Caenorhabditis elegans: one gene and its partner. The protein of the gene in region 1 interacts with the protein of each later gene in a biochemical or structural test. Each region holds a gene or a part of one and is shown on either strand. Other genes may lie near its edges.

Region 1 (6,191 bases):
TAAACTGTCCATAGCATTCCCAAAATATAAAATTTAAAATATTCAATTAACGTAGCATTTTCAGCAAATCTACAACACCCTTTCCTTTTATTTGGTTTGACTGTGCTACCTCTGCCAACGATTGCGTAAAAGAGGTGTGACGTCACAGTTGACCTCGCCTTGGTTGCCCCCCTCCACAAATAACCTTTTCATATCGAGATAGCAGTAGCTGCACCCTTTTTTGATAATGCTGTTCAATGATTTTATCAGTAGTATGATATCTGATTTATCTGTAGCAAAGAGTTTGAACCGATTTTTTGAAAAGTGTTTTACGATTTAGATCTATCAAACCTTCAAAGATACCTTAAATTGAGCCTAAAAAACTATTTATATTGTTAAAGCAATAGAGGTTTAGTACATATATTTTAAATATTTTTTTTGAGAAATCTACAGCAATTTTTCTTAAACATTTAAATACAAATATTTGGAACATAATTCTGTCATATCTAATTTATATCTATGTAGTCTGGAAAATAGTCCAATATGACTGAACATCACATTATAACCATTCCCAATTTTTTTAGATATTCCAAAATTTTAGTAAAAGTTTTGGCATATAGGCAAATTTTTCCAAAATCTGGACATATTTTTGAGTAATTGATGCAGATTTAAACTTTTTAAATGGTGAAATGCAAACAAATAAAACGGAATTAAAATATTAAAATCGTTTAAAAATATTCTTTGCTCCACTTCCAAATCTAAAATGAATCTGAATTATGAGTTTCCACCACTGAAATAAAACTGTAACGTTTTTTGTGGGTTTTAGGATGTTTACGCTTACCTGAATATTATGCAATAATTTTAGAAAATTTGAAATTTCTTTTGGTGATTTCAGAATTTCAGATATTTTTTACAAAAAGATAAGCTTTTCCTGAAAGCCTTTAAATTGCTTACCTAACTCTAACCATACTGAAAGCCATCAAAATTTTGGCCAGAAAGTTGAACTATTATGAGTAGGTTGATAGAAAATCCCTTCTGACTCTTTCAAAGAAGTCACGTTCTTAAAAAAAAACCACCTCGTGATAAAGCTCGGATCCGCTCTCATTTTTTCCAACCAAATCGCTTTTATTTTCACGGCTCTTTCCCTCTCGCTCACTCTTCGTTGACCTCGGTCTCTTCACTCCCTTCAAGCATCTTGGCATCTCTGCGTCTGTCCCTCTACACACGGGGGTTCTCTCGTATGCATACCACTCTCTCTTATAATGGTTTTGCATTCAAGCAATGAATCTTCTTTTTTTGTTTTTAACTCTTTTATGTTTTAAAATAAATTGTTTCGATTTGACATGTTTAATTTGATATGCATTACACAGACAATGACTATAATTCAATAGTATGTGTTTTTAACTGAAAGGTTTCCAACTTTGAATGAATTATAAACAATCAATAAAGGGGAAAAAATCACACTAAACATTTTTTGAAGTTTTCAAAGTGGCAAATACTCAGTTTTCGGTCTTTTAGTAATTTTGGAAGTCATCCGAAAAATGTAGTTTTTTCCTAAATAAGTTGATATTCTAATTACGTTAAAACTATTTGTATTAAAAAGTTATTGGAGTTCAAACAGGCAAAAATACTCGAAATTTCTCAAAAGTCTATAACTTTGAAATTTTACCAAATTAAATTGATCTTAAAAATTCAACTTTGCGCCAGTGGCGATTTTCATGAACTTCCAGTCAAAGTTTTAGCAAATTGCCATATTTTTGAAAAGCATGAGATTTTAAGGAAATTCAGAGCTAAATTGTTTTAACACATATAATTAAAACAAAATTAAAGTATAAAAATCGTAGAATTTTTTGATCGATTTCAAAAGTTAGGAGTGGCAAAAACTGAGTAAATGCCATTTTTTGAGAGAGAACAAAGTTTTCAGAAATTTTTTTGAAACGTTTTCCTATGAAATTTGGTCATTTTGGCATTTACCCCACTGGCGCTATTCCAACTTTAAACAATTTACTGTATTTAAAAAAATTATGAAATATCCCCGCTGCTTCTACTCCCTACTCCATCTTTTAATTTTACTCTTGTTCTCCATTTTTCAAAATGCACAATTTTCAGTCAAAAATGGATGTTGTTTTTGAAACTGTGAACTGCCTCGAGTCAAATAGAAAGATCATCATTGTCAAGCTACCAGATGGATCTTCAGAAAAGTTCTTCTTCAACGTGACAAAAAGAGCCTTTGAGAAGATTGTCTGCGTAGATGGTAAACCAGTTCAAATGGACAGTGACCTGACTCCCCATCACTCGGTATGGTGCCCACACATTCATAAGAACATCATTTTCGCCTACAACCACTTACTCCGAATGAACCTCCAATATCTTTTCGACTCGGAAACCCTGAGTTTTCACGAAACGAAATGCGATCAATGTCATCTGGATCCGAAGAAATCGACCAATGTCAAGCAGATTTTGCTCGTCGCGGCGAGCCCAAAAATAAGAAGACCAATTGTTCTCACTATGAGCCAGGAAGGAAGAGTTTTGAAAATGTGTTATGATGAAATTGAGAAAAATTATGTGGATATGTCACCAACTGAAATTAAAGCCTTGACACAACTGAAGGATGGTTAGTTTTTAAAAATTAAAGAATTGAAACAGTAAATTTGAAAAACGGAAACGCAGAAAAATGTCAACCTGAATTTTTTTTGCATTTTTTCACCGACTGCAAAAAATGCAATAATTTAATGAGCTGACAGCCCGTCTGAAAGCATTTCTAAACAGTTTTTCGAGTTCAAAGTGGACCTCTAGTTTAAAATTTTTGTAGGTATCTACATAAAAAACGTACTCGTTCAAATCCCGAATCAGGCCCAAATACACGTAGAAGCGTTGGACAACTGTCCATTCTAAATCCTAGCTGGATTACTAGTTGAACAAAATAATGAACATTTGACTAACATAAAAAAAAGTGGAAAAATCAATAATTGGTTCTGCCCATATCTTGGTTCGATTTGAGTGATTTTCTTTAAAACAAATTTTAAAACGAAATAACAATTGAATATTTCAGTGACCGCAGCAATGGAAGATCTTACACTGGACAGCAAAGTAATGGAAAGTGACCTGATCCCATTGGTCAAGGAAAAGAGTGTCTTCTTACCACATGACAGTATTCTAATTGCTAAGAACAAGAAAACCAACAAAATCGGACAATATGTATTCGATAGATATCATCATCAATTTCTTGAGGTAGTCATGTCCGACATCGAAATTAAGCAAGAAATGCCAAATATCGCGAAGCTTATCAATGTGACAATGAGCACAAAAACTGAGCAAGCAATCAGTATCAGATGTACCCCTGGAATTGGAGAACTGAAGAAATTCCATTATAATCGGGAGACAGCATCATTTGATCCAATGGAAGAAAAGGCAATTGTTGAGAGTGATGAGGAAATTCAGAGTTTTATTGAAGAGATTGAAAAAACGCAGGGTGAGATTAGGAGAAGAATGTCTAATAATGTGAAAAAGATTTTTGCAGATATTGTATGCAAAAAGATCAAAGCAATCCTCTGGTTTTATCATAATGTGAAACCATTTTTGGCAAAGAAACTTGAGAATCCTGTCAAGAAAAGTTAGTTTTACATACATACTTTAACTGTTTTTTTTTTCACCTAAAACTGAAATATTTTCAGATAATGACTACAAACGTTACGTTTTCAAACCAGTGGAGCCGGAAGAAAAAGTCGATGATGAAATGGATTCGGTGTCCGAACCAGAATCTGATTCTCTCTCGATGAGCTCCTCTAGTCGGAGCAGTAGCCGTAGCAGCCTGTCGAGCGATGACTCTTTCGAGATGGTCGTCGATATTGATTTTGTTGAGTAGTGGCTGAAAACTAATAAAATACCCTTATACAGTGCGCGTCAATGTTATAGGACCCCCCTCATTTTTTTCGATATTGGGAAACTGAAAAAATTCCATGAAAAACTTTTGTGATATTTGGATTCAGCATGTCAAAAAACCTAGGTTCCTGTGTTTTCACGAGTTTATCATTAAAACTATAGACACACGGCAAATATTTCAAAAATTAGGCCGCGTCACTGCTATAGGACCCCCTGGGATTTTCGAAAATTTTCACTGAAAATCTCGATTTTTTCACCATTTTCAAAAAAATAAGATTGAAAACTGGTTTAAATCTGGTTATTAGCTCAACCTTGTTCTGTTTTCCAAACTTTTGTAATGATCGGAATCTTCAATTTAACAATTTTCTCACATTTTTAGACGTTGAAGCTGAACGAGAAGCTCACAAGTAACTTTTGAGCTTGAGCTTACATTATCTCATGAAACACGTATTCAAGAATATTCCTGTCAATTTCTGTCTGATTCCGTTCACAAATAGTCCTTTTGCAGCATTTTTAGTGCTGAGCTTTTAGCCTGTTTTCAGTGTGCTTCTTGATTATGAGCTCATATCTAAGCTATTCCTTGACACATTTTTTAGAAAGTAGTCAGGGAATGAAGCCCACATTTTTCACTACAAGTACCATAAACGTTGCTTGCTCCAAAAATTTCTGGTATAGCCTACACGTGAGAAAAGTTTGCGATGGGTTATAAAAAATCTTGGAAATGTACTGTGAATTGAGAATATGAATTCCGTCAATTGTAGGCTATGCCAAAAATGTTTGGTGCAAGCAACGTTTATGGTACCTGTGGTGAAAAATATGGGCTTCATTTTCTGACTACTTTCCAAAAGATTAATCAAGCCATAGCTTAGATATGGGATCATAATCAAGAAGCACACTGAAAACTGGCCAAAAGCTCAGCACTAAAAATGCTACAAAAAATACTATTTGTGAACGGAATCAGACAGAAATTGACAGGAATATTCTTGAATACGTTTTTCATGAGATATTGTAAGCTCAAGCTCATAAGTTACTTGTGAGCTTCACGTTGAGCTTCAACGTCTAAAAATGTGAGAAAATTGTTAAATTGAAGATTCCGATCATTACAGAAGTTTGGAAAACAGAAAAAATTGAACTAATAACCAGATTTAAAACAGTTTTTAATCTTATTTTTCTGAAAATAGTCAAAAAATCGAGATTTTCAGTGAAAATTTTCGAAAATCCCAAGGGGTCCTATAGCAGTGACGCGGCCTAATTTTTGAAATATTTGCCGTGTGTCTATAGTTTTAATGATAAACTCGTGAAAACACAGAAACCTAGGGTTTTTTGACATGCTGAATCCGAATATCACAAAAGTTTTTCATGGAATTTTTTCAGTTTCCCAATATCGAAAAAATGAGGGGGGTCCTATAGCATTGACGCGCACTGTATAACCACTTTTCAAAAAAATATATTACCCTCTAAAACAAACAGACAACACTTTTTGCTCACTTTTCGAGACATTATGAATGTGTGCAAAAAGAATTGTTAGTTTAAATCTTCTTTTGACCCTTATCCATGTTATCTCAAGTTACCACAGAAGTCATATGCTCTTGTAGAATACAGTCCCCTGTACATTGTGAAAAAATGTAGATATCTTGATGTATCTTCCTAAGCTACACGATTGTTGGTTAACATTTTTCGATTCAATAAATTTATCCTGCAGATTAAATGTAATAAAACTGTAACATCAATAAAAAGCTTCAGGTCTAGCAGACAGCAGTTCAGCAGACACACTGAAATAACATTTGTTGTGCGAAAAAATCCCGACTTTTTGTAGATCAAACCGTGATAGGACAGCTTGACACCACGTAGCATGTTTCGAAAATCTTAAACTTAACATTAAGCAATTGAACATTTGGTTGATATTATATCTTGGGAACTTTGGAAGAATTTAAAACGTAATCCCCACAAATGACAGTCCATCTTGAAGCAAACCGAATCCGATCCCAAAAGGACCGACATAATTGTTCGCTCACTTTCAATTGATTTTCCTCCTCATATGCATCAAGGATTCTCGTATTGTTCAAAAGGTTCCATTCAGGGGTGTGCGGATAACCGATTTTTTCGGCTAACGGATAAATCGGCTAATGCCGATTTTTTGAGAACCGGCTAACGTATAATTCGGCTAACGGCTAATTTCAAAATTTTCGGCTAACGGCTAATTCGGCTAATCTCAGTCATTCAAATCGGCTAATTTTCGGCTAATTCGGCTAATTCGGAAAATATTCATTTGGTTAAGCTTTTTTTGTCCATTCTGTTAATTCAGGTTTTGGGTTAATTTTTTCACTGTT
Region 2 (4,947 bases), on another chromosome or scaffold:
ACATTCTTGGAACGATTCCAAAGGTTGAACGTTCGAGTTAGTGCTTTGGTTGTTGCGGAACGCTGGAGCTGCAGGTTGGAAAAGAGCCAAATCATTAACCAGTCGGTTGTAAAGAATTTCCAAGAAGTTTTTCTCCGGAATATGAAGCTTCAGAACAGGAACTGTGAAGAGCATGAAGGTAGATGCAAAGTTTTGACATTCCTCTTGGAAATCGAGTATTTCTTTTCTGGTCCCAGCTTGTATGATTTCTTCCGTTTCTTCGCCATCATGAGAGCAGTATGACCTTGGAACTTTCGAGAACGGACCTTCTTTTTTCGGGTGTGCCATCATTATATCCGCGGACACTGACTTCATCATGCTGTCTGGGATCCCACTAGTTGAAGTTTTCCTTCCACAACCGGGCAGTTTTTTCGCATCAGAGCAGAGAGTAAGCTTCAAATTTATTTTATCGAATCCATTCTTTGACGCATGTAGAATTCGTTGTTGTTGTTTAGGAATATTAAGCCCTTCACCACAAAAGTCTCCAATCATTTCCGTGCACAGAATTTCTATCAGGGTAACAGATTTCTCTATTGGAATCGACACATCAATTTCTTTGATTCCCAAGCGAAGAAACTCATTATGCACGTGTCTTTGAGAGAACGGGAGTCGGGAACCAGTTGGATCACGAAGGTCTGCTTTCGGTATCCGCAGATCAACTTGCCAATTTGAGCATTTCAAATTGACCAGTGTCTTCGACTTTACGTCATCCTCTGCAATTAACACATCCGAGTAAAGATCGTCCTTCAATTGCGGCACTGTGTTTCTGTAATAAAGAATTGTGGTTTTATGCGTGTCCGCACAATTTATTGCTTACCGGTTGCCATAATTTGTCAAGGCCTCATCGAAGAATGGTCTGCATGCAATAAGATTTGAGATGCGGTCAATAATAGAAAAGTCAAGTTCAGTCTTAACGGCTCCCAACAGGATATCAACTTTTGTCAGTCCTTTCTGTTCAGAGGAAGTGCTCAATACCATTTTGAAGTTGGGATCACTTTCCAAGTTTTCCTGCTCGGAATAGTCAAGTAGTCCGATTCGAATAGGAGTACTGTTTTCAGGAGCGCTCTCTGGTGTGAGATATTCCAACATATCAAAATGAGTGGCAACAACTCGGCATAAAAAAGAATCCACGTTTCCGACTCGCTTACAGCTTGAGGTGATTCCAAGAGATCCACCAACAATTCGAAGATGATCTTTTGGGTAGAATGAATCGGATTGTTGTCGAATGTTTGCAAGTCCGTGCTTTGACATAAACGAGTATCCTTGAATAGATTTGAAGAATGATTCAGACTCTTTCTTAAGATAGTTTAACACATTTGCATATCCTCCATGTTGTTGAGCGTAGTCCGATGACATATAATCACAATGAGGAATGTACATGAGAACTGTCCCAATATGCGTATTCACTGTAAATTCTTCCTTGATGTTTCCGCTGGCTTCTGAAATTTGATTTTGTTTCAAAGTGAACTGAATATATACTATCTTACTTAGACTTTTGAATTTTTCTTTCTCGCTCTTCTCCTTTTCTTTGATGGATTTCAAATCATCAAATTCTCGGAACACTTCTCCAACATTCCAGTTACCGCCAAAAGAAGCGCCAGCCATTGGAGGTTCATTTGATTGGTTTGGTTCCATGTTCTTGGTCATGTTCTCATAATCTTCTTTACTCATTGGTTTTCCTTGCTCGTGAACTACAAGTTCTTTTGGTGTCACGATGGATGAGAAGAATCTGTAAGCAATAGTTTTAACACTGGGGTTTAAAAGAAATATTTACAAACCTGTTAACAATTTCAATTTGTGAAGGTGTTGCAAAAACATTAATACCTTTGATGAAAACATCAGTTTCCACCTTAGATTCATCGACATCAGCATAATTGACATCATTTGCACCGTTTTTTATCCGAAATACACACGAAATATCCCCGACAACTTCTGCGCATTGAATTGGAGCAGAAAAAAGCTCCGGCTCGGCGGGAGCTGTCCGCAAGGTCTCGAGCTGATCAGGCGAGCAATAATCTTGTGTCACTGAAAATGTATGTCATTCGTTGGAAGCCATTTTTATTGTAGAAAAAGACAACTCACGTTTATCATAGCAAGAATGAAATGCGTCCATGTCGCTCATGGCAGATTGAAACATTTCTGGATGTAATGAATTTTGTACCGACTTTGTTGGCGACATCTGCTTGGCTTTTTCTCTACGGATATGCATGCTGGTAATAAGAACATTCTCTTCGTCACCCATTCCGTCATTGTTGATTTGAGAGAAGACATCGGTATGGAAAGTAACACCTTAAATTTGAATTTTAAATATCGAAAAATGTAGGCAATAATTCGTCAATTAATAATCCCTTAATTAAAATGCCTACCAGAAAATGTAAGATTCTTCCTCAAATTGGTGGTTGAGACGACACCATGTGGTTGAGTGGTCACTAAGTCGGTCGCATTTGTGTGGTCCATCTCACAAGAACGCATCTGCTCATCCATAAATGTGATCGTTTCGACACGAATTTCGAGTGCTGTCGCCATAGTTGATCTGTTCTTTGGATCGGTTTCGAATCGAAGTGTTAAATGTTTGATCTTCAAGCAAAAACGAGAATAAACGGCGTCAATGAAGCCAGAGAAGCTGTCAGCAGTATCATCTGGACCCAACAGTTCACTTGCAACATTATTTTCTTTGGATACTTCTTCGTAGACACTTCGAGCCATGTCGTCTGTACTCAGTCCCATCAGAACACTCTCAATCATCGATGTTACTGAAAACCCAGATACTGATTAAAAAACTGAAAAGGTTGTTTAAAAACTCACAAGTTTCAATGTCGTTTATTTTCATAACTTCGGCTCCTCTAAACGTTAACTGTAAATCTTCAATGCACATTCTGGTTGGGTCCGTCATCAAGCTCAGCCACGGTATTTCAATTTTGATTTTCCCCAAGTATCCGTCGATTAGTTTCAGTGGAATATTGCATTGTAGAAATCCATTGCTGACAGCCTATAAAAAATCCACATTTTACAAAATCCATACAATATTCCACTTACCTTTGTATTAATATCTAAATTATCAAGTTCAAGACATCCATTTGCTAATTCGAGTGATAACTGATCCACTGATAAATTATTGTCCAGCCATGCACCCATATATCTCTGTAGCATTACCTTGCACCATACTCGATTAAATGTTGATAGAGTCATTTGTGAAACTGAAAAAAAATATAATTTTTTAGAATGTTTGAAGAATTAAGACTTTTATTATGCGAACAATGTTAGGAAAAAATTCCAAAAAAAAACTGAAATTTTTTGTATGGTGTGGGTTCTACTTGACTAGTCTATATTATTCGACAGAGACTGTCGATAATGGAAACGGTACAGGTGCTTCGTGGTTTTGACAACTGCAGTCACCTGACATCAGAGACACGATACATGTATCAAACTGGGAGAGAACCTAGCAAAAGCGGAAAAGTAGAGAGGGAAGAAAAACGAAGGATGCGCCGTGAACAAAGAGGCAATGTAGGCATCGGCACTGTAGGTTGAGAGAACGAAGACAGTAAATGGTAAAGGACAATGCGGCGACTGTATTATTTGAAGAGAGTGCAGAAATAAACAGCCAAAATTGTGTAAGACTCACACGGATGCACGCTTCAAGCAACAGCTAAAAAAGGAAAACGCGCTCTGCCGGAAGCTTTCTCAGGCAAGAGAAATAGTGGGGAGAATATAAGAAAAAAGAAGAAGAGCAATGACATCGTGGTCCCTCTTTTTCTTTTTCTTGCTCACTGAAAACAGCTGATGCAGTAAAACTGGATGAGGGTGAGCCTGCGCATCTTGTGCTAGACAGTTGCTCTTTTTAACCCACCCAGGTACGTCTCAAAAGATCCTCAAATTTCAAGAGAAATGGTGACCATTGGAGAAAAAAAAAGTGATTGAATAGTGGCAGGCATTGTGTGGAACCGGTTTTCATTATCACCAGCGGATCTTGCTGTTTGACAGTTGAGAGTGAGAAAAAGGGAAAGTTAAGTAAACCAAATTTTACATTGCTATGTTAAAATACTCAGTATTATTATAAATCGTATATTTGCAAGACAAAATTTTGCTCTCTTTGTCGTTTCCGGGGTAAAGAACTCAAATAGAAAAAAACTCGGCGACAAACAAACAATTCTTCCAGATTCTCATTCTAAACAAGCTCGGCGTGTGCTCCAAAGACAACAAGGGGGAGAAACGAAACTGATATAAATATTGAATTTTCAGCTAGGCGACTGAAGAAAGGGAAAACACGTCGCTCGCATCTCAGCGCTCTACAATTTTCAGGCGCTCGTTTTCTCTTGCTCCGTTCCTTGCAATACGCAAAAAAGTCAAAAGGAAAATTTTAGTTTCTATGAATGAGCAAGACTGACAAGTGTAAATTTTTGTTGGAAAATGTGTTGAAATTCTATTCACATACTAATGGAGTTGGGTTACTACATATTCACCAAAGTTTCCATTTATGGCAAAGAAAACAAAGTAGCAACAAGAAGAGTCGGACAAGCTAGAGATCTGCCAATGCAAGAGGATTCGATGTGAGACGGAGAAGGAATAAGAACAGAATAAGGAGATAGCATGAGAGCTCATGGGGTGGTGCACTGTGTGTGTATGAAAGGAGGACGAGGAATAGTAGCGTTGGTAATGAACGGGGGAGAATGCCCAAATAAAGGACCTCATGGTCCGTAGAACACGTGAAAAGAGCGTGAAAACAAGAGACGCAGCCCACCGGGTGCGCAACTCATGAGAGTTATTGACAGTGGGCTGACTCGCCGAGCTCTCGTTGTTCAGTAGGTCAGTAAGTGACAGTAAAGTAGTCCTCAGCCGTGTTTGTTAGTGCTCTTTATAGTGATGATAGTGATACACAATAAACTGCTAATCGATAATGACGAGAAAATA

Evidence for each region.
Region 2: the proteins of C35E7.6 (region 1) and atg-2 form a complex in vitro, tested with the Caenorhabditis elegans proteins (one study listed by BioGRID).

Annotation. Positions count from the first base shown.
Region 1 is NC_003279.8:10,815,266-10,821,456, forward strand, and holds C35E7.6 (CABIT domain-containing protein), read left to right. Parts: upstream 1-2,076; 5' UTR 2,077-2,094; coding exon 2,095-2,593; intron 2,594-3,031; coding exon 3,032-3,451; intron 3,452-3,499; coding exon 3,500-3,592; intron 3,593-3,653; coding exon 3,654-3,844; 3' UTR 3,845-5,578; downstream 5,579-6,191.
Region 2 is NC_003284.9:6,807,385-6,812,331, reverse strand, and holds the start of atg-2 (Autophagy-related protein 2), read right to left. Parts: upstream 3,238-4,947; 5' UTR 3,229-3,237; coding exon 3,076-3,228; intron 3,029-3,075; coding exon 2,845-3,028; intron 2,793-2,844; coding exon 2,406-2,792; intron 2,329-2,405; coding exon 2,122-2,328; intron 2,065-2,121; coding exon 1,818-2,064; intron 1,769-1,817; coding exon 1,527-1,768; intron 1,479-1,526; coding exon 857-1,478; intron 806-856; coding exon 1-805. UniProt on the Caenorhabditis elegans protein: Lipid transfer protein involved in autophagosome assembly and in the distribution of atg-9 and atg-13 during the autophagy-mediated degradation of protein aggregates.